Astyanax mexicanus: one gene and its partners. The protein of the gene in region 1 purifies or fractionates together with the protein of each later gene. This does not show direct contact. Links are inferred from orthologs where the notes say so. Each region holds a gene or a part of one and is shown in the gene's direction. Other genes may lie near its edges.

The links.
Region 2: the proteins of exoc2 (region 1) and exoc7 fractionate together in Homo sapiens (co-fractionation; 4 studies listed by BioGRID, with this or other methods). This does not show direct contact. The link is inferred for Astyanax mexicanus from reciprocal best matches to the Homo sapiens genes EXOC2 and EXOC7.
Region 3: the proteins of exoc2 (region 1) and exoc3 purify together in Homo sapiens (affinity purification with mass spectrometry; 6 studies listed by BioGRID and IntAct, counting the BioPlex papers as one, with this or other methods). This does not show direct contact. The link is inferred for Astyanax mexicanus from reciprocal best matches to the Homo sapiens genes EXOC2 and EXOC3.
Region 4: the proteins of exoc2 (region 1) and exoc8 purify together in Homo sapiens (affinity purification with mass spectrometry; 7 studies listed by BioGRID and IntAct, counting the BioPlex papers as one, with this or other methods). This does not show direct contact. The link is inferred for Astyanax mexicanus from reciprocal best matches to the Homo sapiens genes EXOC2 and EXOC8.

The regions. Positions count from the first base shown.
Region 1 is NC_064408.1:76,634,919-76,643,596, reverse strand, and holds the start of exoc2 (exocyst complex component 2), read left to right. Parts: upstream 1-5,491; 5' UTR 5,492-5,603; intron 5,604-8,058; 5' UTR 8,059-8,068; coding exon 8,069-8,186; intron 8,187-8,445; coding exon 8,446-8,622; intron 8,623-8,678. UniProt on the Homo sapiens protein: Component of the exocyst complex involved in the docking of exocytic vesicles with fusion sites on the plasma membrane.
Region 2 is NC_064422.1:17,965,152-17,973,254, reverse strand, and holds the start of exoc7 (exocyst complex component 7), read left to right. Parts: upstream 1-4,502; 5' UTR 4,503-4,795; coding exon 4,796-4,855; intron 4,856-6,503; coding exon 6,504-6,569; intron 6,570-7,515; coding exon 7,516-7,700; intron 7,701-8,103. Other genes in the region: tvp23b (Golgi apparatus membrane protein TVP23 homolog B), read left to right, coding at 1-117, 1,544-1,570. UniProt on the Homo sapiens protein: Component of the exocyst complex involved in the docking of exocytic vesicles with fusion sites on the plasma membrane.
Region 3 is NC_064411.1:51,609,112-51,617,420, forward strand, and holds the start of exoc3 (exocyst complex component 3), read left to right. Parts: upstream 1-5,074; 5' UTR 5,075-5,226; intron 5,227-6,847; 5' UTR 6,848-6,865; coding exon 6,866-7,009; intron 7,010-7,145; coding exon 7,146-7,365; intron 7,366-8,309. Other genes in the region: ahrrb (aryl-hydrocarbon receptor repressor b), read left to right, coding at 787-1,780. UniProt on the Homo sapiens protein: Component of the exocyst complex involved in the docking of exocytic vesicles with fusion sites on the plasma membrane.
Region 4 is NC_064408.1:45,574,770-45,582,550, forward strand, and holds the start of exoc8 (exocyst complex component 8), read left to right. Parts: upstream 1-4,235; 5' UTR 4,236-4,248; intron 4,249-5,962; exon of another isoform or gene 5,963-6,085; intron 6,086-6,170; 5' UTR 6,171-6,189; coding exon 6,190-7,781. Other genes in the region: DNA-dependent metalloprotease SPRTN, read right to left, coding at 810-1,837, 2,216-2,507, 2,815-2,943, 3,093-3,192, 3,919-4,235. UniProt on the Homo sapiens protein: Component of the exocyst complex involved in the docking of exocytic vesicles with fusion sites on the plasma membrane.

The DNA.
Region 1 (8,678 bases):
AAATGAATACATTTGGCATTGGTCCACAGCAATGTGTAGTCTAGCCCTACAGTGAATACAGCTGATACACTCAGAGACATGGGTCAGAACAAGGAAACACCAACCTATGCAATTATATATCCCTGATCTTATAATAGATAGAACTTTATTGATCATTTATTAAAGGAAATTGCAGCATTAAAGTAGCAATACAAATAGTTACACAATAAACCTACAAATATTAAGTAGAACTATAAATGAAACAAAGTCCAGATGTTGTCAATGGATGATTAAGTGGGTTGTTGATTTGTCATGTTTATATTAGCAGGGAAATATCAGTGTGATTTACACAGAGTGGGTGGAGATGTAATCTCACAGTGAATGGAGGTGTATCAGTTCTTTATGTTAGATTTAGTAGTGTATCACTTTTCAGTACATTACAGTGCATTATGAGGAGTACTTTAAACAATTAAGGTATTTTTTATCTGTTTCCAAGTAATGTTTAATATTTTAACATGTTAGTAACATTGTTATAACAGTGATTTAAACTAGCTGTATAATAATATTTCTTAAGCAAAATGACAAAATATTATTATTCTAGAATTTAAAAGTTTATGCTTAATAACACTGTTCTAAAAGGCCAATATCAAGATACCAAGAATTTACCCTCCTTAATAAAAAAGCTTGAAAAACTGATAATGTTTCCATACCAGTTAAAAAGTGCTTCCTCTGTAGTTGGTGGCAAATTAAAAACTGTTTGATTCACTGTTTTTGTGACAAAAAAAACAACAAATGAACATATCTCTACCTGTTTAAAAAAAAAAAAAAAAAAAAAAAAAAATATATATATATATATATATATATATATATATATATATATATATATATATTTCACAGATTAAAACTAAGCAGTGTGTGTAATTTTACATGTCAGTTTAATTATTGGTGAATATGTGACAACCTGCACTATATAGAACATAGAATCACTTGGAAAAAATACATATACACAAAACCTAATATCTACACAATTTCAGCTTTACAGAAGAAAGGTGAAAAACTTTAACTTTTGGTGAGTGTTAATGAAAAAATTATATTGCATTTATTAGGCAATTTTAGAGCATTTCTTTTGGTTCATTCTTCATGACATTCTGTTTCAATTTGAAAAATAACAAATGCTTATACAGAGTTTATTGTTGACAGTGAAAGACTGGCACAACTTTACAAATAAGGCAGAAATCCTTTATTTTTTAGCCCTATACATGAATATGTCAATTGTAAACAATTTAGACAAACCATGACTTATTACTGTACACTAAAACAATGGTTCTCCACAGCAACAAAAATAGGCTCCAAAATAATTCTTAGCTTGACTGTAAAGTACTGTGAAATGTAAATCCTTTAATTAATAGAGAATATTTAGATGTTTATGCACTAGTGTGCAAGTATTAACCTTTGTACTAAAATGCAAAGCCTTTCTTTTCTGTTGAAATTGAGCACCACCAACACAGACTTTCACACGGTGTGGAAGGTTCCCTGCTTCTACGGTTCCCCCTGTTGGTGAAGGTTGTAATATACACTGAAGCCCTTAAATAAATATTCACATCATAGATTTTCACATCATATTTTCTCAATTGCTGCACACTTTCAGAAAAAAAAACACCAAAAGAAAAATCTCCTTCCCCTTTTATATTGTCACAATACATTAATCAGCAAAAACTCCAATGTTCATCATTTTTTACACAACTCTGCACTAAAAAGCAACCTTAGTTACAATTCCACTTTGTAATACACTTAGCACTATATACTTTATTATTTATTGCAGTTTTTCCTAAATTTTGCAAAACATCAAATTTAGTAAAACACATACACCCAAATGTCAACTCTTTTCTCTTTTTTTAACTCCATCATGAAGATTCTTCATAAAGCTCTGGCAAGGGGTGTGTGTGTGTGTGTGTGTGTGTATTCGTTCCTTCACATGGCGCCTTCCCTCCTGGCGATGGGCCCATGGGAACACACTGGGACAGAGCCACTCAAATTAGACAATAGTAAAACAACACACACACAGTCGCAAGTATATATAATCTGAATATTCATCTATAACAGTTTTATATTTAATACAGGAAATAATTGTCTATTTAAAAAGTTGTTTAAGCTGGACAATAACATGTAAAAGACATTGCACTAATCATAACTTCTCAAAATAAAAATCTCTTCATATCACCTGCCTTATAGCAATACGCAATGGGCCATGGTTTACAGTAGAAGTATCAGAGTATTCACAGCTTTCAGTGGCTTTTTTGTCAAATATCAATTTTTAACTAACTAAATATACTAAATAAATAATCAAACATTTTTATTTATAAGAATTGCAAGAAAAGCAGTTTGTTTAAAGTCTGTGTTGGCCAGTGGACTGCAGGAAGAAAATAACATTGGATAATGAAGTAAGTTCATAGCTTTGTCATATAACAATGAAAATATCAAATAAGTGGTCAGCTCCTCAGTTTATTTGTTGATAAATATAAGAATCAGTCTGCTAACAACACAATGGTTTCAATAATTTGATACATCGATAGACAAATCTAAATAAATAGATTTGTTATAATAAATAAAGTTTGTCTGTTAAATATTTTACAATGGGTTTATGTGCAGTTCAGCAAAATAGATTTTACAGCTTCTAATATTCATCCATATAAATTAATAGTAAATCCTCATATTTTTCTTTGATTTCTTCATGTTTCTACTTAAGAAGTAGTTTGTACTTTCAATTAAAGTGGTAACAAGCAATTAAAATAGTTTTATTCAACTCAAATAAATATTTTCAATCAAATATCAGTATGTTTAAAGTATTAATCAAACCATTTTTTTTCTGTGGCAAATTGCTAATAGCCTTTATTTTCAGCAGTTATTGTATAGACCAGGCTTGGGGTCTTGGAGAGGTTGTAACATTTTAGAAAATGTAAAAAATAAATAATGATAATAAACGGTAAGCATAGTCATCATCACCATAGACATCACAAACTATATACATAAATCCCACTCCAGACCTCAAGTTATAAATATCAGACATATAAATAATAAAATATAATAAATATCTTTATGATTCTTAAGCAATATAATAATAGTAGTATAAACTCTTGTGAGTGTTTATGTTTATTCTACTAAGCTCAGCCCCCCTCCAAAAAACACACACACACCCTGGTTGCTTGCTTTCTGTCAGAAGGAACACTGTGCTGCCTCTGCCAAGACCAAATCGTTCTTGATCTCTGAGATTAAGCCGACATAATTAAAAGATTTCAGTCTCTCCCGGGACTCTCTGAGGCTTTATCACTTTATCAGGGGGAAAGTCTCCTTGCCTGAGATAACGGAGCGTGAAGGCGCGCTGCATGGGTGGCCGCTGAAGCAGCCACTATCCTAGAATAAACAGAAATGCAGGGAGAAGAATTCCAATGTAAAACCAAATCACAGTCAAATACAATTTTAGAGTGTATGTATAGAGATCAAATAACCACTAGCAATACTATAGTCTATATCTGAGCGTAATAATATTTTTAGAGTTGTAAAGTATCATAGAGTAACCACAATATAGTAAAGATGGCAAAATAATGACAGGTTATAATTTTGTAACAATAGCAGAAATTAAATCCTTCACAGAAGTGGATTGTATAAAAATGTGCAATAATTTTGGAGACAAAATCAGTAAGAGTAAGCTAAATCAAATCATAGGCAGTTCTGTAAAACTACTGCTGTATTAATAATAATAAAAAAAAATTCAGTGCCCCTTTGCGTGCCCATTTCTTTGGGTCTGCTCCTACTGGAAGTCTTACATAATTGCAGGATGTTTATTGTGTGTATGAGGACAGATTTGAGTGAAATGTGCTTCACAATAAGATGTTTTAGTTTTCTATCAGACATCATTTCCTGAGATACGACTCCCAGCCCGTCATACTTTTCCCATCCTTCACCACCCAGCCTTATTTTTCCATTTTTACTTTGAATTTAAAGACATTTAAAGTCAATTTTGTCAACTGTCCTCATTTGCACTACAAATATGGTTTGTGAAAATGTCAGAAGGCATCTAGACAAAACAGAAAAACAAATAACATATAAAGAAAAAAAACATATAAAGTCAGTCCAAGTGTACACAATTATATGTACCTGCCAGCTAATACAGTTTTGACTTTTTCAGAAAATTGCCCATCTCAAGGTATAATGATAGGCACACACACACACACACACACACACACAGATAAAATTAATATATATTTTTTAGTTTTACTCTTTTACTTCGAAATTCTTTGAATTACTTTTGAAATGACTCAAATCACTTTTTTAAAAGGGCAAATTACATTTAAAATTACATTTGAGCCAAAGAGAAAAGCAAAGCAATCTATCGAGGAGGCAAAATGACAAATGAGTCTTTTGCAGTTTTTGCTGGTACCTGTAGCACAACTTTGAAAATAACTAACTCAAATAGCTGTTAACCTGGTAGACTAAACTAAAAGCTCTTTATCTGATTTACATTCAGCTAGCAATTCTAAACACACTTTTAACCAAACACGAAATACTATTCCCTACATTACATACAGCAATACAAACTCAATACCCTTTTTTATTTTTGGATACACTGCCCTGCAAACACCATACTCATCTACCAGTTACCAAAACCCAGATACAGGTCAAAACTATTCTGCAACATTTCTTTTTTACAAATGTTTACTGTTTTCAGGATACTAGGCAGATTGTCCAGTCTAATCTGAGCTGCACCAATATAGCAATCAGGCAGTGTGGAAAGCTGTGTTATGGCTATGTGAAGTCTAGGCTATACTTCCTCCCACTGGTACTGTAATGTACTCTCCTGCTGTGCAGCACTATACATACTGTATGTCACTTTCATACTTTACTACAATTACTGCAGTGGATTACAAGTTTCTTTATAGTGATGAAGCTTCAAATCTGCCAAAAGAGGCACAAGGCATAGGAACCCATGCCTTCCTCAGTGTCGCTTGGAAGCATGGTGGCAACATCACAAATGGTGTGTGCAACCATTTGCCAGAATGAAGTTCATCATTATCACACTCTTGACAATACCCCAATATGATGACAATATGACTTAACATTCTTTTGTAGATGGTGAATATGTTGTGCTTCATGCGACCCTTGTTTCAGGTTTGCAGTGGCCTTTCCAGGCCCTATGGTTATTTAATTAAGCTGTGAGTTTTGGTACACATAACACAGTTAACAAAACTAATAATGCACGTTTATTTTAGTAGCTAGAGAATTTAGAGGAGGCTATAGCCCCTAAAAAGAGGCCTATGATTTAAATGCAGCTAAAATACTAACAATATTGCAACAATAATATATCTGAATGGTTTTGCTGGTGTTAAACTATTTCTTATTACGTGAAATATCTTGGAATGCCATGAGGAAGTGTTTTTTTTCTTGTGAAAATGTTTCACCTTTTTATCCAGACTACACTTCCAGCATCAACTCAGTCTGTAGCTAAAGTCTGTTCTTTGCAGTGACTGCTGGAGCAGGGAGGGGCCAGAGACGCAGTGACCCGGATGTACACTGAGCGACCAAAACAGCCACAGCCCCTGGTAGAGCGGTGATCTGCGCTAGATTAGGTGGGTTTTAATCTAACATTACACCAGTTAACACGCCGCGGTTTTTATATTAGGTGGTCTTTGTAAGTAATTTATTGTAAAACAGTGTTTTTAGACCTGTGTTTCTCCTGTCAGTCCTAAAGACTGCGCCGATAGCTTCAGAGGCTAACCAGCCGCTCCGCTAACCGAGCTAACTGTTTTTAGCCTCAGCGCTAAGGAACTGTAACGTTAGACTTTTAAACAAATGTAGTTAATTAACGAGGTTATGGTATGGTAGCTAACCTAGCTGGGTAGTATTTATAGCAGCTCTTTGCTGTTCTGAAACACTCCTGTTTTTTTACACTGAAAGCGGTGGTGAAGGTGTTACACCAAGCTCAGCTGTGCTGGTTTGTTATTCTGCTAATGGTTAATAGTAACGCTAGTAGGTGAGCTATTTTGTTTTATTATAAGCAGAACAGATAAGCTGGCGTTAGCTATCTACTGCTGTATGTTAATTTATAGGTCAAATTGTATTTTGGTAATTTTGAGGATAGAGAGCTGTTTCTGAGCAGAGCTGGTGGAGGACAGGGTTCAGTATCTCTCTGCTTTAAAGTGAACCCACTAAAGTACTTTTAACAAATGCTTTAAAAGAGATCACTGGCCTGTTTATTAGAATTTCATCTGCTTTGATCCTCTGACTAACATGACAAGTTTACAGGCTACAGGCATTAATACAGTTGCTGTTGTAAAAATCATGTGACATCCTTAACCGCCTCCCTGAATCAGTTACATACTAGCCAAGTCCTACATTTTCACCTCTCTTACATTTTTTCAGACTGCTTGAACACAATTCTGTATGCTGGTTTTACAAAAAAGCTTTTCACAAAAAAAAAAACACACTTCCAAACTGTAAAATACTTAATTGATTCTGCAAAATAAAGCACAGAAACCAAAACCACATATAGCATTATCAAAACCAAACTTTTGCACCTAAGTGTACACAATTATTTCATATTAACAATTTTTTGTTTATCCACCTACTACTTACTGTTGGGAATAATGAAAAGCGCTCTCATCTTTAGTAAGTTTTGTCACACTACTAAAATAGTTGAAATTGTAGAAAAGTCTTCAGATTGTTCACATGCACAGACAAATTTGCACATACACACACACATACTGCTGTAATTTTGTTTTTCACCACCCAGTGAATAACTGTAATTTTACAATCATTTTTGGCAACTGTTTTGACATTTCCTTATTGTAAAATTCACAAGAAACGTTTTACATTGTACAGTGGCAAAAAGTCAGAGTAAAGTGAAAGGTTGTTATTAAACATGCACACCCCTACTTCATATGTGTTTAATTTATCACACCATCATACTTTTCATTCAAAGAACAATAAATTTTGGCCAACTGTCCTCATATGTACTGTAAATATGATTAGTAAAAAGATCAAACAGCAACTAGGCAAAAAAAAAGATACATTTTTAGATTGTAATGCTTGTTTTTAAAATATATTAGGCCAACAATATAGTGCATGTGTACACACTCATATGTTTATAAAACTTCGGTTTATAAACCATTTTCCTAATTATTTTTTCTGTCTTAGATAGAGATTATCTTTACACGTGCAAGTGAAACAAAAAGGGAAAAATATGTAATATCGCCTACCTACATTCTCAGTGTAGTCTACTGTATGGTTTAATATTTAGTTTTTTTTTATGGAGATGCTACAGAGAGCACATAACCTTGGATGATTTTTAAGAAAACATTTTCAGAAAGCTGATGTAACAGCATTGTCCTTTAAGCTTGTTGAATAATAGCCTTTGTGCTCCTAGTTTAGTAATGCTGTGTGAAGGTGGCAGACACAGCTACTGGGTAGATTAGGGAGAATACTTGCAATGCTGTATCGGTTTTCTTGTATCAGGTTTTAATCAGCAGTTTACACGGAAAAGTTGTTGTCAGACAGTGATTTAACCAAAAGATATTGTTGATACAGTGATACAGTAATGTACTTGTACTATCATTACAGTTACAATTAAATATAATTTTGCCACTTATGCAAATAAGCAAATAACTCTCTGAAGAATTGAATAATAATGTTATCTAAATTAAAATAGTGCTTCTTATATATTAGAACTAAGCTGTAAAATACACTATGTGTAGAGTTGTAGATATAGCTGTAATTAGAGCTCTATAGAACCATGACATTTTTAAATATTGAAAAAATTATATTTGATTCAATCTTTGTGTGAAAAAAAACTTTATAGAACCTAAAATATTTTTTTCACCAAACCATAATTATGTGGGACAATTACATCAGGATCATACAGTTTAAAAAATATATCAGACAAATGTATGTGATGAATATTTAAAACTGATATTTACAATTTTAAACAACAAACAATCCTTACAGCAGATGCACTGCCTTTGTTAAGCAGCATAGATTTGCAGTAATCACATTTAATATTTTTCTTTGTCCTCTTTGCATTTGCAGTGTGGGAACAATGTCTCGTGCCCGCCAACCTCCTCTAGTGACTGGCATCTCGCCCAATGAGGGCACACCATGGACTAAAGTCACTATCCGTGGAGAAAACCTGGGAACCGGACCCAATGACCTTATCGGTAACATGCACAGTGCTGAATATATAAAGACTTAATAGTTTAGTCTAAAGGGAGTAATCAAAAGTCACAGAGATGTATTTAAGTGACTCTTTTTTATTTAAATGTTTAATGTGAAGGCTCTGTTTATCATGATATTCAATTTTTTTTATTACTTATTTAAAAGAAACATTTCTATTTATATATATCTTTTATTATTATCTGAAAATGAGCACCTGTTTTCCAGGCTAAGAGTATAATTCTGCTTCTGTATTCCTTTCAGGTCTGTCTATCTGTGGTCATAACTGTCTGCTGACGGCAGAATGGATGTCTGCAAGTAAGATTGTGTGTCGAGTTGGTCCTGCTAAAGATGACAAGGGCGAGATCATAGTCACAACCAGGAGCGGAGGCCGAGGCACATCCACTGTGTCCTTCAAACTCCTCAAACATGAGAAGATAGGTTAGAAATGCACTTGCATGTTTTAGATCTTTCTGTGTGTATATAGTCATATACAG
Region 2 (8,103 bases), on another chromosome or scaffold:
ATGGGCGTGGTTCTGCAGGGAGCGAATCTTTATGGATATGTTCGCTGTAAAGTCGGCACCAGAACGAATCTGAAGAACATGGCCACCAACTACTTTGGAACACAGTTCCTCAAACAGGTGGGTCTCAGAAACGAATGAGGGGGTTATTAGGACCAATCACGGTGAGGAGGAGGTTTTAGAACAGATAAGTAGGGGATTAGCAAGTCCAAAAACATGCAAGAAGGTTATTAGGAGCAAACAAGAGCAAACAAGCCTGTGTTTATTATTAATTACTCAAGGGGATATCTTGGAAAACAAGATATGGGTGGGTGGGTGGGTAAAGTGCTGTCGTTTATTTACAGTAAACTTATATTTCCAATATTTTACTGCGGTTAGCAGCAGCACTAGACGCAGGTAGCAGCACAAAGCCCTAGTAAATGCCGCCCGATAGCGCCACACTGAGGAACCTTGGGTGTTCTGGTAAGCCAGGGTGCTATTATACAGCAGTTTTAATGCAGTAAACACGCAGACTACAGGTCGATATTCTCATATTTAAAATGGTGAAAGAGCTAGCGCTGCGGTTAGTGGATAATGCTAATACTGCTCCAGCCTCTGTGTAACACTGCACTTCAGTGGAGTGGCTTTTACTGCTTCTTACATCCTGATTGGTAAAATTAATACATAAGGTGCACCAGATTTTAAGGTGCATAGTTGATTTTTGGGAAATTAAAGGATTTTAAGTGCACATTATAGTGCAGAAAAAACAGTATATACATGCATATGATATATCGCTGCTGTCCTGTGAAAAACACTTATCTCCATTTTTGTCGATTTTTAGTTTACTACATTATTTGAACAGACAAGCTGTCCCTTACACTGTGCCAAAATTTCTTGATGAACGGACCAACAGAAACTCTTTAAAATGACCTGAAACAAACTCTTTTTACCTTGACTTCCATTTAAAGTTTACAAGTTTTTTTCTCTCCTGTAAAGTTGCTGTTTTGGACATAAGTGTTTTTGATTGGACAGCGACGATATGCATAATACTTTATTGTTACCTTGATCAAACACAAATCAGCAACAACATTAAAATCAGCTCCATAAATACATACATTACACTGGTCAACTATGACATTATTATTACCTTCATGTTTGATAGGTCAAAGAGCCTGTTAAATAACCAAATGGAATTCCACGCCTAATAAATCTTAATGACAAGAATGACTTTTCAATTATTAATTGAATAAATATTTTAAATTGTAGTTTTGTAATTGTTTTATTTAAAGCAAGACAAAATACGTTTAACAAAATGATTGATTTGGGATTTGGCCAAATTTTTATTTTTGGCATATTTTTATTAATATGAACCATGTGGTCAGAAAATACAAAAAGCTAATGAAGAGATTTTTGGGACAAATCATAATCAAGGGAATGTCTTTTGGAAAAGCAACTGAGGTTATTAATACAGAGTCTACTGATAGTGATCATATTCCAGTGTCATTCATTTTCTTGCTTGTTAATATGCACTAATTTATATTTCTGCTGTTTATGTTTATTACTGAAGGCTCTGAGTAAACAGGAGGAGTCGTGAGAGGGAGGAGGAGGAGTCTGCACTGTCACTCCAGCTGTTTAAAAGGAGGAGGAGTTAAAGGACTTCCTGAAGCGAACATTAGTGTGTAGCTGACTCCGCTCTGCAGATGCTGCAGTATTTCAAACACACCTGTTCTAGTTTTGGTTAACGTTATGGTTTGAGTTTTCTTTAACTTATTAACATTTAATTTATATGCTGTGGGATATTAACATATATTGGACCTATAAAATGGTAATGTTACTTAACAGAACCCTTCAGAAGTTTGGGGATGTCCTGTCTCCTATTCTTTAATGTTCACTGTTACTTAGTTAAGTAAGAAAATATATATCACAGAATAGAGGGACTTGCAAATCTGTTCAACCCGTTTAAAAAGTGTTTAGCACAATTTTTTTTCCTGGAAAATATATTACTTAAAACTGAAATTTTATCCTGGCAGTGTTACATGCAGATTTTTTTTTCATTTTAAAACAAATTAAAACAATTAAAACAAAATGTTTTAACTTTATTAATTTAGAAATTAAATGTAGTATTTTACAGAGTACCCTGTTGTCATCTACAGGCCTTTCACTCTGTATAAAAAAAATGAGAAAATATATGGAAAAATTAATTGTCAACAAAATGTATAGAATAATCAAATAACTACATAAGAAAAAATAATAACTACATAAGAAAAATCTATAAAAGCAGCAAAAGTAATTTTATTTTACTAACTACACAATTTGCAGATACTGAATCATTGTTTATTATTTCATTTTGTGTTAGTTCATTATTCTGAGATTATACGTTTTTATTTTTAAATTTGAGTGCATCATTCATAATCATATCAGTGACAATAATTTTGTTTGTCGCAGTTATTTTTCTGACAGTATATATTCTAAAACTAAATCGTTTTTCTGACAGACCAACATGTGTACACAGCATGATTTTTTTTTTTTTTTTTTTTTTTTTTGTAAAATGTAACACAAATATACAAATATGACTAATTTAGTGATTTTTAAGGGGGTTGAATAGTTTTTGCAAGATAGTGTATGTTACTTTTAAACCTGTTTTTTTTTATTATTATTTACTGGGACTAAAAATAGAGGTGTGCCATATGGCAAAAGTGTTCATTCACAATATTGAGTGATTTTCACTAATATTTGTGAAGATATTTTGACTGAAACTGCTACTCTCACATAATGAGTACAGATATATTTATTATTAATCATTATTAATTATTATAAGTCTTCTTAAAGCACTGATGATATCCATAATATGCTCAGTATAAAGTATGCTGTGAACCACAATAACAAAATGAATAATAATATGATAAATTATTGCCATATAGCCCACCTCTAACTACGAATGTCTTTATACTTTCCTCTGATGTTTTGCTTTGATGTGTAAAACATGTACATACCTGTGTAAATGAATTAATGTAAAATACCTTTTGACACTCTGGAACTATGAATAGAACATTTTTCAGAGCATTTCTGTAGAGATGTTAGAATGTTTATCATATCTATAAGAGAGGTTGTTAGATCAGTCAGTATGAGTTAGTATGAGTTCTGTATTTGTGGAATGTGATGAGATGTGATGAAATGTTTCTTGAAGTGAACTGGATTAAATAGATTTGTCTACATTTCAGTGCATTCTTTCAGTTCAGTTTATTCTTTATTGTTTGGGAGAATCATTCTAATGTATAAGTAATTTATATTTATATTTTAAAAGTTTAAAAGTGATTACTTTTGGAATATACTATTTAAATTAAAATAAGGTAAAAGCACTGAACTTTACGAAGAGCTTAATTATTAATAAACACCTTTCTGTCTAGAATAAGTTAATAATTAAAATTTTTATTATGTATAAATCTCACTTACGATTGCTTTAGCACTGTTACAGTTTTTTTTTTTTTAAGAAATACCAGTTTTCCTAGAATAAAAACGAATTTTATTATTCCTGAAGTATTGTAGTATTTATGTAGAGAAACATTAGAGACCAAGCCAATAATATTTGTTTGTGGAAATCTGAAAGTTCATATTTGTTACATCATAGCTTATGCAGAGCAACGTCAAAGCAGGTGTTCTGTCGAGTTGTGCTACCCATCGATGCGTGCTTTCTGAAGACACTGCGCATGCGATAACCTACGATTTTTCTATATTCCTTTTTTTTTATGAATTTATTTTATTTATTTATTAAATGTGTTTTTGTGTGTGGATTAAACAACCTGGACTCACTGTCATTGCACAAAAGTGTAAATGGAAATTAATAATAATAAAAAAAATACACAAAATATTTTATAAAACAACACAAAGCATTTTATAATGATCTCTTATTGACATTAATTGGCCATAATATTGTGGCGTGGAAGGGGAAAGAAGACCCGTGAGACTCATGCTGAATGTTCAACAGCTCCTTTTATTGAACTGGCTTATCACTCACTCACAGTCTTTAACAAGACTAGGAGAGCTAAACCATAAAACCACAGAGCTAAATAGCCCAAAGGCCACCAACCCAGCTGTGTGTCTCCCAGATGGCAGATCCAGAGTGGTGCCCACCCTCTCTGCATAACCCCTCCCAAGGGAGATGCCCCACCCCTGTCATCCTCGCACACAGGAGAACAGAAACATGCCTGCAGGCAGCCACACACACAACCCAGAGCCGCCACAATATAGTGATTTATGCTATTCAAATATACTAACGTACATCTACTGGGCCTTCTACTGGGAACATGCTGTAATACGGTGCTTTTTTGTTTTTGTAAAGTTAGGTTTAATATGCACTACACTAGTGTAGAACGGGTTGACAAGGCAGCGCAACTGAATAGAATAACTGGCGATGAGGGAGGACTTTTATGTTGAAGTGTCGAAGCGTTTGTCAGTATATTGAACTGGTGTGATAATAGTCAGCTGATTTCCGTTCCGTTTCCGTTCTTCTACCCTTTTAAACTACAGATTCTGATTCTTACTCATACTGTTTTGTGTCCAGTTGGGGTTAAATTAAAACGTGGGATCTTTTTGTAATATTAATGTTAATTTTGTCGTTGTAAAACGTTATTTTTTTTATCTAAGGCTTTTATTTTGTAATATAGTGGATAGTGACTCCCCGGTCGTTAGTTTGTGCGGAGCTCGGTGTTGAGTGTTGTTACTCAGGGCGGAATGGTGATATAAAGCTGTATGTGATCAGTTTAACCTGAGTAATTTCGGATTATTAATATTAAACTATACTGTGTGAGAGTGGGTGGAGATGATCCCGACGGAGGACGCGTCCGCGCGGAAGCGGGAGATCGAGGAGAAGCTGAAGCAGGTCGGGCTGCGGTTCAATAGCCTTAATTAACGTTACATCCTTTATTTACACACTGTTAACACTGACACGCTGTAAACACACTCTACAGCATTAATACACACATGTATGTTAACAGTTAACGGTTTATTCTGAGGGGCTGTAGGGTCTTAGTGTGGTGGTCTTCTCTACAGTGCAGAGCTGCTGTGATAAATCTAGCTTTAGCTAATCTAAATACAGGCCATTCACTCACTATGCTTTAACCCAAAGAGCCCATGATGACAGTGTGTGTATTACAGACCCTTAAAATATATGTTAAATTCCTCACAGCACTCTGTCTTTCACTTTAACTCCTGATATCCCCAATTCACATCTGAGAGTATCACAGCACAGTGTGTGAATGTGTGTTTTATCCTTTTGTTTCCTTTATAAATCTAAATATAACTGGTTGTTTGGATCAGCAATTTCAGTTAAGTATATCATATAGCAGATGAACACAGTGATATTTGAGAAGTGAAATGAAGTTTATAGGATTTACAGAAAGTGTGCAATCATTTTTTAACAAAATTAGACAGGTGCAAAAATGTGGGCACATAAAATTACATCATTATTTATTAGATCATCCTTTTGCAGAAATAACAGCCTCTAAACTCTCCTATAGCTTCCAATAATAGTCTGGCTTCTGGTTGAAGGTATTTTGGATCATTCTTCTTTACAAAACATCTTCAGTTAAGTCAGATTTGATAGTGTTTGAGCATGAACAGCAGCCCACTTTAAATCATGCCACAGACTTTCAACATTATTCTCAAGAATCTACTGATATTGAATCTATGATACCCTCAGCTTTAAAAATATTCCCAGTACCTGCACTGAACACACAGCCCCACAGCATGATGGAACCACCACCACATTTTATGCTTTTTCCTCCATGCATACCGACCGCCCTCCAAATAACTCAATTTTAGTTTCATCAGTCCACAGCACCTTATACTAAAATGTGTCCAAATGTGCCTTAGCATACCTCAAGCGACTCTGTTTGTGGCGTGTGCACAGAAAAGGCCATTAAAAGTGTACTTTTGGCTATTTCAACAATTCAGATGTTTAGTCTTCCATATAACTACATTACATTACTTTACATTACATTACATTTAGCAGACACTTTTGTCCAAAGTGACTTACAATAGTAATGTACATAGAGGAATAGAAGTTTAATGTTAAAATACATTTTTAGACAGGGCTTAAAGGAGGTCAAATGGAAATAATGGGAATCTCTGAATAGTTCTGACGTGATTTTTAGACCAAAAGGTTATGGGCTTGATTATGGTTGTTATCATTTCTGTTTCATCTGGATTTTAGCCTTTTAAATATTTATACATATGTGCCGTCTTTAAAACAATAAGAAAAAAAGTTACTGCTCAGTATTCAGTCCTGTTCTGATTGTAAAAAGGTAAAGTTTTCTGTTGTTAAAGCTTTATAAATATATGATGGGTTATTTTCTCAAAATTTAACTATAATCTCTGTATCGTGGTGTCCAGTAGAATTGTACATGTGGTCATTTTGCTCCTGCAGTTTATGCTAAATCCAGTGTATCTGGTGTTTATTGAAGATAAATTTAGAATGGTTTGTTGATTTGTGTGTGTGTGTGTGTGTGTGTGTGTGTGCTGAACTGCAGGAGCAGGAAACTCTGTCCTTCATTCGGGAGAATCTGGAAAAGAGTGACCAGCTCACTAAAGGCATGGTAAGAGATTCAGAAACAGTGTGTGTGTATTTATGTCTTGTAGCTACATTATCTTTTGCATTTTGTGCTTAATAACGTATTTGGACACCTCAACATTCTTTCTGCTTTTATGTTGTCCCATTCTAAACCCATCCAATCCCATTTCACCCCTTGGCCCTACCATTTACTCCTACCCCTTCTTTTCGAGTGAAATCCTCCCCCTAAGAATTGGGACAACCCTACAAGCACCCTATATGTCATCAGAAGGACAGCACAAGTGACTTTTATATAAATATTCTGCTCTGAAATAAACCAATTTCTTATAGTTATTAGGGTGACAAACTGAATAATACAAAAAAACAGTATTCTAAATTTGTTGGGCAAGACAGGAAAGGTGAATATAAAGGTGAACAATAGCCTATAAAGGTGAAGATAGCCTCCATAATATACCAAAATTTGCATATCAAACTGGTCCCCAACACTAGTCCTGAAGCTGCTAATGTGTTACTGTTATAACCATTAAACCACTAAATGTGGAAGAATGTGGTTCCTGAGTGATTGAGTTGGGAACCACTGGTATATCACAATGATGTTTGTCAATGAACAATAAATAAATAACAATAAATTAATTAATAACACTGCTTAATTACCAGGATATTAGGTGAGCCTGCAGGCTGATGTGATAGCAGTGGAGCGCTAAAGTTCCGTAACCTAGCTGCTGGTTAACTAGTTAACTTTAGGGCATTGTATGTATTTAGAAAGGGTCAAGAAATTAATTATTATTGCTAATATCTTGATTCTTCTGTAATGGGGAGATGAAATTAGCTTTTATTTTATTTTATTTTTCCTTTCCGCCCTAAATGCTGCAGCTCCTGCCATCTGTTTCACTATTTAAGGTGGAACGGGAAAGTAAGCTAGAACTACTAGCAAACTTTTTTTCGACTATAGTTTTATTTCTGTCACTCAGGTGTCCATCCTGTCCTCGTTTGAGAGCCGCCTCATGGCTCTGGAGAACTCCATCATCCCGGTGCATAAGCAGACGGAGAATCTGCAGCGTCTGCAGGAGAATGTGGATAAAACCCTGTTCTGCCTGGACCACGTCATCAGCTACTACCATGTTGCCAAGGACACTGACAGAATCATCAAAGAGGGGTGAGTGTCTTATGCTAATGAGACTTAACACTAGGGTAATGGCAACAATATTGTCATCATATTCCAACAATAACACAAAACTCTCACTCTTTATGTTCAATTATTCTTGCATTTTAAGCTGCTGCTGTGCTGTGATGTCAGTTCAGTGTGCTGGAGCATTAGCTAAGAGCGAGCGTTATTCTCATTACTACTCTTAAACAATCTCTTAATTCAGAGAATCCACTGATGTTCAGGAATAAAATGTACACAGAATAAAACATACAGGGTTCTGAACATATTTATGTACCACAGAATGTGATACAGGTGAGTTTTTGAAAAGTCCATTCATCAAATATGGGCATACGAGGACTACGGAATGACACATGACTGCAGTGGTCTATAGGGATTAAGTTCCTTACGACAT
Region 3 (8,309 bases), on another chromosome or scaffold:
GGATGTTAATCCACACAAAATTTCTCTCCTAAAAACAGTTTATTTGTATAAGTAAAACGCTTTTGTTTATTTACAATAAGCTAAGATACCCAAATTTCTCCAGCACTAAGGCTGGTGCATTAGCAGTAGCGACTAACTGCTAGCGGTTAGTGCCTAATGCCACCCGACTGCGCTACACTGGCTCCGGTAAGCCAGGCCGATATTAGCTAGCAGTTTCTCCCACATAGCTTGTTTTAACATGGTAAACACACAGCTAAAAGAGCTAACTAGTGCTTAGTGCGGTTAGCGGTTAACGCTAATGCTGCTCCAACAGTGCTAGCCAGTAATAATTCTTATTTCTGAACAGCTAAAAAGCTAGAGCTTAACATGATTAGCGGGTAATGCTGATGATACTCCAGGGCCTTACAATCTGACTGGTAGAATTCATACATAAGGCACATCGGATTATAAAGCTGTCCACTGTTCAAAAAATGTTACATTTCTGGTTCAGCTGGCACCTACTATCTGGCCTCGCATTAACCTCCATAATTAAGGCAAAGGTTGAACTTCTCTCGCAAGATAAAACCTCACAACTTGTACAGATGTGGGTGTTCCTAAGTCGTTTCTTGGTTTATCACTTCATGATCAGTTTGCATGACTTTTGGCATATCTTTTTATCATGTGGGTCCCACATGATGGGATCAGATCAGATGCAATTGAAATGAGATATTCACTAGTCATTAGTGGTTTTTAAAGTTATAGCTGATTTTTCTACATTTTCACTTTCTTTTTTTTTTTTGTTCATAGCGAGAAGAAGTACCGTATGTCTCGTAGCTCCACTGACCCTGGGGACATGCTGTTGCTCAACTGGACCACCACGTCCTCCAGAGACCCCTGCCACAGCAGTCCATGGGCTGCCCTTGCCAAAGAAGGCGTCCCCTACAGGACCGAAAGCTACTACAGCCAGGACGAGCCCCTCGACTTCTGCCTGTCTTCCGTGGGGGTCCCCAGAGTACATGCTACAGAAAGTCCATGGGATACTCGAATAGGTCCTACTGGTTATTTTTCTAGCAAGTTAAGCAAACACGCACAATCTGGCAAATTCCGCACTTCTCCAGGCCTCACACCAATGGGATCACAGGCCAAACCTTACGGACACAGCGAAAGGGACGGGTACTGTGGCAATGGCAAGACTGAGGGCAGGTACATGGCACATAATGACTGTTACGGTGGTCTCCTGCTGCCAGAGACCGCCATTAAAACAGAGCAGGACTCAGATTCAGAGAACGGCTGCAGTAGGTACACCACCATGCCCCACAACGGGGTTTGGCGCTATGGCATGACCTTCAACGATAGCCATCTGGTAAAAAACGAAGGAAACTACTACAACCACTGTAGCCCATGCAACCAAAGCGGTGGCAAATTGGCTGGTATCAGCCCAACGCTTAACGGCCACCAACGGTATCTCTATGCAGGTCCCAGCAAGCCTTTAAAATGTGCCCTCAACAAAGATGGCGCCCATTCTGACCCTCTAGGCAACCAAGCACACTGCCTCGATGGACACGCCTACCTAAATGGATCTACTGAGCCCAAAGTCTTCGCCCAGCCAGACTACAAGCTGAGCTATGAGTTCAGGAGCCACAGTCTTCTCCACTCCATCAAACGGGAGCCCATGGACTCTCCACCCTGGCCTGAAAGCAGCCACGATCCCAGCCAGGCACATGCAGACAGAAATGTGGCGAACTGTACACAAATGAACGCAATCACGCACAAAGCCAATCCCTATTTGTTTATGCAATGATGTCTGAACTGATCTGTGGTACTTTACGGTCAGATATGTCTTATGTCTTTGTAGTTAGTGATGGATTAAAGGAATACTCCACTGTTTTTTAACCTAATCTCTATGTAAAGAGTCTAAATCGCACTAATGACTTGGTGTCTTGGTGGTCATTTTGTCAGTGCATCACTTTGGAACAGGGACTTGCTGGGTTTTTCTGGTTTGCAATTTGTATTGGCCTGATTTGGACAATTTCATTTCATCAGGCTCAAACTTAAGATTTTTTACTTATGAAATTTATTTGAGGCAATTTTTGATATAATGATTTTAACAAGTGATTTTGATATAATGATTTTAACATATGGTTTGTCAGGCTGCTTTTAAACTAACAATATCGTGTCCTCCTTGGGTTCATTTTCGGGACAATTTTCACTCTCAATATCAGGCTCAGATTAGGCTGTATTTTACTTCCATCTATGTACATTTTTATAGGAGCATAGAACCAGATTGGGCCAATTTTCTATTTGAGTTGTAAATTGGGAGTTGGGACACAATTTTCTTAATTTTATTGTAGAACATTATGCTCATGTCAGACTCAGATTGGGCCAATTGCTGCTTTTGTCATCAAATTCAGATTGGATCAATTTGCACCTAATACAATAGATTCACATCAGACCAGTTTTGCCTTAGAGGTTGACCTTGATTTTTTACTTAAAACATCAGGCGTAGATATGGTCAGCTGCCAGCCTGCTACTTGCAACATCAGACTATGTAACATCCATCAGACACTTACTGTATTATTACCGCACTAAAAAGCACACCATATTGGGGGGCACACTATTAATAAATGTCTATTTTCTGGTCTATTTCCAAAAACAAGGAGCACCGGATTATAAAGCTTACCGGGGTTAGCAGCAGGCTACAGGCCGATAATACTCACCTCTGAACGGCAAAAGAGCTAGCGCAGTTTGCTGCTAATGCTAATACTGCTGAAGAAATAAACTGAAACTCCTGTATATTGCTGCATTTCAGCAGAGTGGCTTTACTGCTCCTTACAGCCTGACTGGTAAAATTCATACATAAGGCGCACCGGATTATAAGACACACTGACGATTTTAAAGAATTGTAAGTGTGCCTTATAGTGCAAAAAATACGGTACAATAAACTTCTTTTCTGTCCTTTCTGTCTCATTCTCTAGAAAATAGAAAATGAGAAATTACAGTTCAGGGGAACTTTGGTCAAGTCAAGATGAGACTATTAAGACCTCAGAAAAAAGAGAGATCAGAAAAGAGAAAGTCTGTTTTGAGTCTCTTTTTTACATAGTAGCAGGAATCACAATGTAATAGTTGTCTATTCAGTTGAATCTGTGCTACAGACGCAGCAGAGAGAGATTAGGTTAAAAAAATGCTGAAGTATTCCTTTTGAAGCTCAGGTTTACCCCTCCCTTTGCAGATGCAGGTCTCATAGTAGCACTGGTTTTGAGGGGAAGTTCTATATTTTAGCACTTTTACAATGATGTGGAAATTTATTTTAAATATATGTATATTCAATGTTTTTTTTTATTTGTATGTAATGCAAATAACTCTTAAATGCCACAAAAATTACATAAATGTACTGTTTTCTTTAAATAAAGATTACATGTTGGTCTTCATCCCAACTGGCTTTAATACAGGTGATATGTATCATGTTTTATGATTTTTAATCATGCACAATGTATAAATAAAGGGAATTTAATGGGGCGGGGGCTGTTTTGTGTTTTAGAATATATGTTGATTATTTGTTATAATAAGTTGTTAATTATGCACTGTGTTTTGGAATGAATAGCTTGCAGAGGTTTAAGTTGCTGTCTGAAACATATGCTGTGTGTTTACACTTGTCAGATTAACAATAAAAAAATATATATATCAACATAAAACATAAACCGTTATAATTTTGCAGCTATATCCTTTTCATAACAAATATTGCTGAGTTTACAGGCACATTTATCTGTGGTCTATCTGTGTTGTTTACCTGTTTACAGACTGTTAATTCCCTTCTGTCAGTTCTGTCATTTTTGTAGTCTAAATGAATAGTGAATATTATAAGTAATGGATTCTATGGTATGTATTTTCTTTAATGATTTCAACAAACTCATTTTGCAGTATATTTTGAATATGGTTCACAACCTCTTTTATACACGATTTAGCTGCTGAGCAGCAATCACTGAAAGTCGTATTTTTGTGTTTGTATTTTTGAAATGTAAGTAAAATATTGCATTGTCCCTAGAAAAGAGTCTTGTCTTATTTTAGGCATGCAGGAAAATTGTGAAAAATGTGTTTATTATATATTTATTTCTACAGTTATTGACGGGAATAATTGCAGCAGTATTAATCACACTTTATCACTACTGTACTGCAGGATTCAAACTCTACATCTAACCATTTTACTTTTAATATCAGTGACAATGCGCCCACACACTCAAATCAGCAACGTTCTCTAACCCTTAGGTCATGACTAGTGTTTCCTTTAAAATTAGCTAATTGTTTACTTAAAGTACAGTTTTAATTTAATACATCATTAAATAAAATTAATGATCACTAGGTTTTAAGTTTAAAAGTTCAAAATTTGTTGTTTTTCCATCATCAATCTTAACAGATGTAATGCAACCAAAAAAGCAGGTTTATTCAATGTTCTTTACTATCAACTGCCAGACCTGACTGTTTACTTGTTGACTAATGTTAAGATTCAACTCCTAACATTACTAACTGGATAGTAATACATTATTATTATTATTATTATTATTATTATTATTATTATTATTATTATTATTAATAGTAGTAGTAGTAGAAGTAGTGTTAATAGTGTTATTAACATTATTTTTAGTGTTAATATTATTAATATTAACAAATATATGATTATTATTAATGTTTAAAAAAAATAGTAAAAGTAATGATAAGCTAAACTAATATATATATATATATATATATATATATATATATATATATATATATATATATATATATATGTTCAAGTGTCATTAACATTAACATTTTGGTTATTAACATTATTTGTAATGTCATTTTTGTGAATTAGTATTATTATTATCATCATCATTGTGGTTATTATTATTATTATTATTATTATTATTATTATTATTATTATTAATTGCGTTATGAACGTTATTATGATTTTATATTTTTTTATTATTTATTTATATATATTTATTATATATTTTAATTCATTAATTTCTTTTTTTATTAATTGATTTTTTCACCTGGTCCTGATCTGGCTTATGGCTGACCCTGCTCCTTTCTGCGCAAATCCTGCGCAGCCGTGCCTGTCTCTATGGGCATATGCGGGGTTGGGCGGCGCAGCGACCAGGAAGACTGAGCGCCGCAGTAAGAGGAAAATAACGCCAGATAATTAGAATAATATGATATTAATGCAGAAAACACTGAGCGGGAGCCTTTAGGAACACCAGCTGAGCCCGGGTAAACATTTGTTACACCGTATTTCACCTTAAATAAGCGGAGAACGCGCTCAGAAACCGGTGCCAGGAGCTGTTTGTGCCCAGGCTAAAGAGTTAGCTTACCTTAGCCTGTTAGCTTTAGTGTTTATGTAGCGTTAGCAGCTGCAGCTAAGCTATATGTTTATGTAAATAGATGTATATATCTGTTCAGTTTAGCTAGCTAAGCTTGTTAGCTAGTGGGTGCAGCTCTGTCCACCTCAAACCTGCTCAAAATACGTTAAAACCCGCTGTTAAACAGTCATTTATTGTTTTTCAGGAATGGGAACATACCAGTCTTTTTCCTACATTGTAAATGAATACTGAAGTTGTCCAGACTATGAAGGAACACATAAGAAATCATGTAGTAACGTTAACTTAAAAGTGTTCAACAAACCAAAATACTCTACTCTTATCTGGGGGACTGTTAACTTGTGGTTTCTGAGGCTGAGGCTTGTCCTTTCCTGGTCCTTATAAGTGCCAGTTTCATCATAATCTTATGTCATGCCAACTCTACCTCTTCACAACTGATGCTCTTAAACTAACATTAAGGGGCAAGAAATTCAAGTAATTAACTTTTGACGAGTTCAGCACAGCTGTTAAATGAAAGACTGCCTTATAAAGCTGAATAAGAAAATCCAGCCAAGATGTGCAAAGCTGTCATCAAAGCAAGAGGTGCTACTTTGAATAATCTATATTTAATATTATAAAACATATTCTGGTTTGTTTGTTTTATGTTTTCTTTACTAAATAATTCCATATGTTTTTCTCTTTATAGTTTGGATGACAGTATTTATCTACCGTGCAGCAAATGTTAAAATAATGAAAAAATACTGAATTTTAGGTGTGTCCAAACTTTTGACTGGTACTTTAAAATTTACAGAGAGACTAGACACCCATGTATAACTTTTAGAAACAAACTGACACCTTTCTAAAATAATCGCCTGATAAAATCTGGGTTTAAAGTTTAGACCGCTGTGTCTCCTCAACTTGCTCGCATTATTAGCCTGTATAGGCCTAGGATGGTAAAGTTACCTGAGGTAACCTAGCCTTAGCTTTTATTTGTCCAGCAAAAGGGCTTCTTTCTTTGTGTAAATTTCACTTATATGAGTCTTGAGTAGCTCTGCTGAGGTAGTTTTATGATTAAAATAGATCTACTTAGATAAATTTGTGACTTGCATTGTACTGCTGATGTAAATGTATGATTAAAATAGCTCTACTGCTGGGATTTAAGGTTTAGGCTACTGTGTCTCCCCACCTCTCTCTCTCTCTCGCTCTCCCTCTCGCTATCATTGTCTCTCTCTCTCTCTCTCTCTCTCTCTCTCTCATTCTTGCTTGTGCTGTCTTCTGTACTGTGGATCTGGGACTGAATATATAGAATTCGGACTAGAGCGATAAAGTTGCCAGAAAAAGAGTTATCTGTTCATTAACCCAGCTATCTGCACTATTCACATATAAAAAAATCTACTGTAAAAAGAATCTACTTAAAAAATTATTAGAAAATTGACCAAAGTTAATTTAAAGGGTTTGCCGATGTGCACAGTATTTGGTTTTAATATAACTGACGAAGCATGTTTTTATTTATTTTTTTATTTTTATTTTTACAGTGTGTGCAGGTTGCCATTATGGAGGAGACGAATAGAGAGGCCGTTGCCACAGCGGTGCAGAGGGTGGCGGGGATGATCCAGCGATCAGATCAACTGGATAAAGTTGAGCAGTACAGACGAAGAGAGGCACGAAAGAAAGGATCTGTAGAGGCCAGACTTAAAGTAAGTTTATCAGTGCCTTTGTTATATATCAACTGCAGTGAGAGTGTTTACTGCATTACGAGCCTTTATTAAATATATTTATAATTGTCGTTGTTGTGTGTAAATGTATAACAGTGTCTTTCCCTTTGTCCTACAGGCTGCAATCCAGTCCCAGTTGGACGGAGTTCGAACAGGCCTCACTCAGCTGCACAACGCTCTGTGTGATGTGAAGGACATCCAGAACTCGTTAGCAGACGTCAGCAAGGACTGGAGGCAGAGCATCAACACCATCGAGAACCTGAAGGATGTTAAGGATGCTGTGGTCCAGCACAGTCAGCTGGCCTCTGCAGTGGAAAATCTCAAGAACATCTTCTCAGGTATGAGTTGTTGTTTGTTTGTGTTCTTCTATCTTTGTAAACTGACTGTTTTTTCCAGCTGAAAGATTTAAGCTCTACGGGGCTAGAGTGATAACGTTAGCTGAGGTAACTTAGCCTTAGCATTTATTTGTTAGTTATTAGTAAAAAACTGTTTGTCTTTCTCAGTGTAAATTTTGCTCACATGTCACTTGAGCAGCACTGCTAAGGTAAAGGCATTTTTGGGTTAGAATATCTATGCTGACTTAAGTAAATGTATGACTAAAATTGCACTGCTCTGCTAAATTTATGATTAAATAGCTCTACTTAGGTAAATTCATGACTGAAATTGCACTGCTGTGGTAAATGTATGTTTTAAAAGCTCTACATACGTAAAGTTCTGACTTAGGTAAGGTAAATTCAAAAGTTAAATTGTATTGCTCTGGTAAAATTATGATTAAAATGGCTCTGCTTGGATAAATGCATGACTGAAATTGTACCGCTGAGGTAAATTTGATTTAAATAGCTATCTGTAAGAAACTCCTGAAGACAGAGCTCTTCAAAGAGCACTTACTCTCCTAACACCTCTAACTAACTACCTTCCACTACCAGACCAGGAGAATCTCTCACTATCTTTAATAAACTCCTGAAGACAGAGCTCTTCAAAGAGCACTTACTCTCCTAACACCTCTAACACACTAACTACTTCTAACCTCATTTCCTTCTTCCCCTCCTTCACTCCTCTATCCCATTATTTCCCTTTGACCTCCTTTAGGTCCTATCTAAAGATGTTTTTACCTTTAACTTCTATTACTTTTGTACTTCACTATTGTCAGTCGCTTTGGACAAAAGCATCTGCCAAATGCAATGTAATGTAATGTAAAATAGTGCTTTTTGGGTAAATTCATGACTCAAATTGTATGACTGAGGTAAATATATGCTTTAAATAGCTCTACTTAGTTAGGCAT
Region 4 (7,781 bases), about 31 Mb from region 1:
CTAATACGTCTGTGTTGAGTGAAGACATTGTCTACGGTGTAGCCTACGCAACTGCCCTGTGCAGTGGAGTGCATTTATACTTCTCTACATGTGGATGTCTGCACCACTGCTTTGCGCTGCTGTTTAAGGTGCAAAGGCAGGGAACTCTGTGGACCAATCAGAGCTGCTGCTGTCTGCGTCGCAGAGTTATACTTCTGGGGAGGTGCGCATCGGGCTTCGGAATAAGACACATTATAGGTTTGAAAAAGAAGTATAATAGAATGGGGTGGAGCCATAGTTTTAGTTTCATAACTTTTAAAGTTGTAGGGTGGGCAATATGACAATATTTTACTGTATCATGATCAGTTTTATGATCATGATACATATTATACTTTCCTGAGTATTTTTCGGATAACATCAGTGCTTAAAGAACACTGACCAATTGCACATTTAATAATAATAATAATAATAATAATAATAAAATAAATCACTAACTTTTTTTAAAATACAAATTTGTATTTGTATTTTATTTATTTGTTATTTTTAGGAGCGCCGCAACTGATGAATTTTGTTTGCAATCGTGTATTGCGATACATATCGTGTAATGTGAAAATATCTTAAAAATGCCCTAAAATAATAATGTTTACCCTATTGCCCATTCCTAGGAAGTAGGGAGCTGTTTGGGATTTACCAAATGTTTCCTTTTCAAAGACAAACTATGTATTTCAATTACCTCTGTGATCCTCACAAAGTGCTAAAACCAAACCCATCAGAACACATTCAAACACTACTAAAAACACTTCATCCACTCCTCTGCCTTTAAACATTTATCAACTAAGGCAAGAGTCTAAATGCACATTAATTTGGGACTCTGGCACTTTGATCTGGCACACAGGACAGTGCACTGTCACAGCACTGGAGCTTTGAGAAGGGGCAGTCCCACCATCAGCCCTACTCCCCTCCTGCTGCTCCCTGGAGGAAACGGATGCAGAGGACTGTTTGACCTCCCTCTGAAAGAAATCAAAGATATGTGCAGAGTTACGATCCTCTCTCAGTCTCTTCCGCCCTCCTGCAGCAGGAGCAGCACCTGGCTTTTGGGGGCTTCCGAATGGCCTGGAAGAAGTTGAGGCTGAAACATGTGAGCCACTTCCAAAGTGTCTCGAGTTGGAACTTGTAATGCTAGTGCTGCTCTCTGGCTTCTTTTGGATTCCGAAATTCGGCAAACTGGAACCTGCTGAGGAAGTTTTGGGGCTGCCAAAGTATTTAGAAAGGACTGGCCCTGTAGAACCAGGCTTTGGTCCAACAGAGCTACTGGAAGAACTCTTGTTAAACGGGTTAGTTTCAGTACGGTTTGTACCACGAGAAACCTGCCCAGTGGCTTTTCGGTCGAAGGCACTACCTACAGCTGACGTTCTAAAGGGCTGGCTGGATGCTGTGGCTGCAGTGGCAGATTTTGAGGCACTTGAAATGCTAGGTGTTTTCTCAGGAGAGTTCGGGCTCCTGGCCTGAAAGAGGTCCTGCACTGTCCTCTGTTTAGGTCTTATCAAGTTGCTGTTGTCCTTTGTGATTCTCACAGGAGAGCCATTAATGTTGATGAAGGCTTTGGTGTTGCTGACGGACCTTTTCGGAAGTGCGGTCACAGTGCTGGTGCTGACCCGCCGATCAACATGGTTTGAGCTGGGTTGTGGTCTGGTGTCTGTGGGAGGAGTTTTAGCTGGTTTCTCTGGAGTTCTCAGCTGTTGTGTGGAGCTTTGGCTGGGTGGTTTCTGTATGGATGCTGGTGGCTGTGTGTTCCCTCCCAGAACAAAACCTCTACCAGTGAAAGGAATGATGTTCCTGATGTCCTGAGAGCCAGAACCTAAAAGAGGACAAGTAAACAAAAAATTACAAATGTTTTGTGTGTACATTAGGCTTACAAAAATGTGAGTGATTATATTCATATATATTATTTATATAATCTGCAACACACATATAGGATTATTGAACCACTCATTTGATTACAAAGTAGATCATTTCTAGCAATACCACAACTATTTGCTAAATAAATATTGACTCTTTCCAAGTTGCAATGCAAATGGATAATGAATAATACAACATGTAGCACCTATACACCACATATTAAGCCCTTTTTAACAAAAAACTTTTAAATAAAAACGTAATTCCATCTGAGACTTATCAGTTACTCCAAACACAACTTAGTGACTAAATTAGCTTTATTTAATGACAGCCCAATCACCTGCAGTGCTGCTAGCTGGGATAATTTTGCTCGCAGGCTTCTTGGAGGCATTCTTCTCCTTCTTCTCCTCATTCTTGCCCTTTTTTCCATAATTTTCTGGCTCTTTAATCTTAGTGTACGTTCCTCCACAGGTTCTTCGATGGTCCTCCCACCAGGGATCTCTGGCTGAAGGAGCTCGGTTCATCGCTCTCTTCACGTAACCGAAGAACGGCTTACGGTTCTGACATGGACCATCACAACGCCACCAGTGCTGACGGTAAACATCCACTTCATCATGGAAGGAGTGATAAACCTGGAAGATTAGGGAGATTCACTGCTTAGTTTAATATAATGCAGGAACTGAAATGTCATATAATACATCATATAATACAGTTACTGGTCACTTTCTTACATACGCCTACCAGACAGAAGCAGTGTGCAGATGTACAATTATAGTATGTTAACTGGTAATGCACAGGTATGAATACAGTAGTTTATTGGAATATTTAATTACTACAGGGGGAAAAAAGTCCTTGCACAATGTCATTACAAATAACCGTAAAATATATGTTCCATATCGTTTTGTTTTAATTCAGAATAAATGTCCATTTAATACATACAGAAATGTTGGTTCCAGTGGCTTTATTGATTCGATTCATATGTTTGCAGAATTCAGGCCCATGACCGTCCCGGTCTCTGTTGTTCTGGGTCACGAACAGAAGAGCGTGTATCATCTCATGCAGAAGTGTCTAGAAACAGAATTTCATAAAGGTTGTGAAAAAATACTTAAAAAAGCAATTTGACAAAACAAACAAAAACTGTCAATATAATACTACACACATAATCACAGACAGTAACAGGTCCCTTGTCTTTTCTTAATCTGCACAAATTTACTAACCTCCACCAAGTCTTTTCTTGGCCTGAGTTTCAGTAGTGGTTCGCTGAGACGAATTGAACACAGACCACCTCTACCTTCATAAGAGCACACACCAGCACACCTGGATTTAAAGATTAAAATAAATAAATATACAATTTTTACTTCATTAATATTTTGAAATCCAGGCCAGACTCTGATCCTCACAGGCAATGGCACAAATGACTTTAATGGCCCTCCTCATTTAACATACGTACATGATTTAATGAATCAACTTAGGACCTGAAAGGAACCAATTTTTGACCCACCTAGCTATATCAAAAGATATGCAATGATCAATTAAACATGATACTGCCTTTCTGAGCTGCAAATTCCAAACTGGAAAAGTTTTTAATATATATATTTTTTTTATAATATAGGACATGTGCAATGTGGATGGGACATAATTATATCAGAGTGAGTTTAGTATCAAAATTGGTGTAGATGTGAGTTGCTAAATATTTTAAGCGGACAGGAACAGAGTGTTTATATCCCTATCTGGATGGGATCAGTTTCTCAGGGTGGCATTTGTGAACAATATTTCACGCTTTTACTCAGTGACAGAACTCTTGCATCCAAAATGCAATTGGAAAAAAAAAAACAGGAGGACCAGTGACCAGTGTATAATAGCAGCTGCATTCTATTGTGATAAACTGTGTTTTATATTCAATTAACGTATAATCCGATTAGTCGACTAATCATAAAAAATAATCGGTGATTAGTCGACTATAAAAATAATCGTTTGTGGCAGCCCTAATGTGAATTTAAGGTTGTGTTTAATTGAGCTAAGTTAATATCAGCTGAAGCTCACAGTGTCATCCTTGCGCTCCACTTGACCTCCACCCCGCTGAGTTTCCCCCAGAAGAACATGTCGTTGAACTGCAGGAACATGGCTCGGACATCTGGACTGGGGTCCAGCATCTCCCATTTCTCGTCCACGATGGAGAGAGGCGGCTGAGGGTTTACTACAGCCCAGTCCGAGGACTCCTCAGAGCCCAACCTCCGCTTCTTACTGAAGGGCAGGTCTCCGTGGTCTCCGTGGTCTTCAGCGCTCCAGGACGGAGCCAGGGCCTCGTTATTGAACTGCTCCTGCAGCTGCAGCGCCAGGATGAAGTCCTCGTCCTCCATCACGGTGAAGGCGGTGAGTGCTGCTGCTGCTGCGGGGTAACTCTGGACTGATTATGTTGTGTTTATGAAACCGAGCTCACTGCTACCATTCTCACCGCTGTAGATCAACTATAAGTAGTTAAATTAACCTGCCGCCGACTGGGACATCCACCACTCCACTCAGAGCTCATCTCAGGTAAAAAAGTATTCAGCTCTGCAACAGAAAAGAGAAGAAAAATCGTGTTTTAAAGAAGACAGAGCAGCAGAAATCAAACAGAACACCGGTTTTCATACAAAAACAACCACGTTTCCGTTAAATAAATACTCTTTTTTCTTACCAATAGGACATCGTCTAAATCAATGTTAAAACGTCTAACCGAGACGTTGTGAATAAAATGTAATGAAATCGGTTAAACTCGCCATTATTTAGTTTCTGAAACCAAAATAGCCGTTAGCAGCTCTGAGCGGCTGCGCGTCACACAGCCTCAGCGCACAGCCTGTCGGGATACGGTTAGTCCTCCGGGAGACGAAAACAGAGGGGCGTGGCCGTAAGAGTGTAATATTTAATTTTATCTTATTTAATTTATTTATTAAATTCTTTCATACATTATATATATTTATATATACAGCTCTGGAAAAAAATAAGAGACCACTTCAGTTTCTTTGGCTATTTATAGGTATATGTTTGAATAAAATTACATTTCTTCCATACTCCAAATAAAAAAAAATGTCATTTAGATCATGTATTTGCAGAAAATGAGAAATGACTGAAATAACAAAAAAAAGAGATAGAGCTTTCAGACCTCAAATAGTGCAAAGAAAACAAGTTCACATTCATAAAGTCTTTCACGCTGCTTTTGGATAACTTTATACCACTCCTGGTGCAAAAATCCAAGCAGTTTAGCTTGCTTTGATGGCTTTTAAAATTTGGTAAAATCAAGAAACAAAGAAAAAAATCATTTTTAAGTGGTCTCTTCTCAAACTCATCTACTGACTTACAAAAAGCACACAAATAAACTTCAGATTTAAACCTTCTTTCTATAAACACAAGCTACAGCTTATTATTTATTATTTATTTATTATTCTGAAATCAGTCTTCTTCACTTTAGAAGGATAGCTAGGCTATTTTACAAATTTGAAATGAGCTAAAATAATGATTTACTACATTTTTTATAATCCAGCTGTCACCAGTCCCGTGCTCTGACGCAACCAAGATCCGCTAGAGCCGGTTTATGTGGAGCCTGCCCCACTCCCTCCTCTCCCCCATCTTATTACAACAAAAGACAATTGAGCCTAGAAGGAGCCCGAGAGCGAGTTCTTAATGAATGGGGGTGAATGGAGCTAAACGGCTAAAATCTCAAATTAAAAATAGCAAATAACTATTTGTCCAGAATATTCCTTTAATTTTTGAAAGTAGAATTAAGCATTTTGCTAAAGAAGCAAAGAAAACCCTACCTGTATTTTTAAATGTATCTACATTTTTCTACTTTTAGACAACAGAGACGCTAGCATTTCTGCTAATGCGAGCTGACTGGTTAGTGAGATACTTTATGCTGTCATAGGAGACACAGCCAATGCATGTTTAAATGCCTTCTAAATGGAAAAAAAGGTTTCTAAAATATTTTTGCGGTGCTTAAACCTTTGATATTGTTCCGTATTAAGGAAATTAGAAGATTTTTTTGGTATAAAAATAAAAAATATATATATATAAACTATGATTTTGTTTAAATGCTCCATAACCTATTCGTTTTAGACTCTCTCGGGGGCGCCCTCTAGTGGTCAAATAAACCCAGAAGAGATTTTTTGTTTGGGTGTTCTCCTCTGTGTACGTTCTCTGGCGCAGGCTTGTCTCTTTCCGGGAGAGGAAGAGGGTGGGTAGTTAGCAAAACAGTAATGGCGGCTTGATTTTGCTGAATATTTCGACTCTCAGAGCGATTTTTTTTTCCATCTCTGCAGGAATAACCCAGTCTTTGAGATGGCTGACACCGGAGGACGGCTGCGAAAACAGCTGGAATCGGCTAATTTCGACCCGCAGAATTACGTGAAGCAGCTGTCTCAGCAGTCAGACGGAGACAGAGATCTGCAGGAGCACCGGCAGAAGATCCAGAGCCTGGCGGACGAGACAGCCCAGAACCTGAAGAAAAATGTCTACAAGAATTACAGGCAGTTCATCGAAACGGCTAAGGAGATCTCATACCTGGAGAGCGAGATGTACCAGCTGAGTCACATTCTGACCGAGCAGAAGAGCATCATGGAGAGCATCACCCAGGCCCTGCTCTCCACAGACAAGGATGAAACTGCCAAAGAGATGCTGGCTGCTTTTCCCAAGGAGACAGAGGAGGTGAAGCAGAGGACCCTCACAACACTACTGGAAAAGGTGGAGGGGTGCAAGAACATCATGGAGGCACCTGGCAGATACCTGGTCTACAATGGTGACCTGTTTGAATACGATGCTGACAACATGTCCCAGATTCAGAAGGTGCACGCCTTCCTAATGAATGACTGTCTATTGATAGCAACCTGGCTGGCGAACAGACGCGGCACTGTCAAGTACAAGTACAACGCTCTGTACGACCTGGAGAGCTTTGCAGTTGTCAACGTGAAAGACAACCCACCCATGAAAGACATGTTCAAGATCCTAATGTTCCCAGACAGCCGCATCTTCCAAGCGGAGAACAGCAAGATCAAGAAAGAATGGCTGGAGATCCTGGAGGAGACAAAGAAAAACAAAGTGGCAAAAGATCGACACAAGAAAGAGGAGGAGGTCCCCACATCACCGGTTCGGCAAGAGGTCGCCTCCACTAACCCCTTTGATGAGGATGAACCCTTAGGTTCGGAAGAATTGGTGGACCTGAGCCCAGAGTGGATCCAGGAGCTGCCTGAGGACTTGGATGTCTGCATTGCCCAGAGGGACTTTGAGGGTGCTGTGGACCTCTTGGACAAGCTGAATGAGTACCTAAAGGACCAGCCAGTCACTCCACGGGTAAAAGATCTTAGAGCCAAAGTGGACGAGCGTGTCCGGCAGCTCACTGAGGTCTTGGTGTTTGAGCTTTCCCCTGACAGGTCGTTACGTGGGGGTCCCAAAGCGACCCGCCGAGCTGTGTCTCAGCTGATTCGGTTGGGGCAGTCCACCAAGGCCTGCGAGCTGTTCCTGAAGAATCGTGCAGCTGCGGTACACACGGCCATCCGGCAGCTCCGCATCGAGGGTGCCACACTGCTCTACATCCAGAAACTCTGCAACATCTTCTTTACCAGCCTGCTGGAGACTGCCCGCGAGTTCGAGACTGACTTTGCGGGCAACACAGGCTGCTACTCTGCTTTTGTGGTGTGGTCCCGCTCGGCCATGAGGATGTTTGTGGACGCCTTCAGCAAGCAGGTGTTCGACAGCAAGGAAAGTCTGTCCACAGCTGCTGAATGTGTCAAGTTTGCCAGCGAACACTGCCGGCAGCTTAGCGAGATCGGCCTAGACCTCACCTTCATCCTACAGTCACTGCTGGTCAAGGACATCAAGGCTGCTTTGCAGAGTCAGAAGGACATCATTATTGAGGCCACCAAGCACCGCAACTC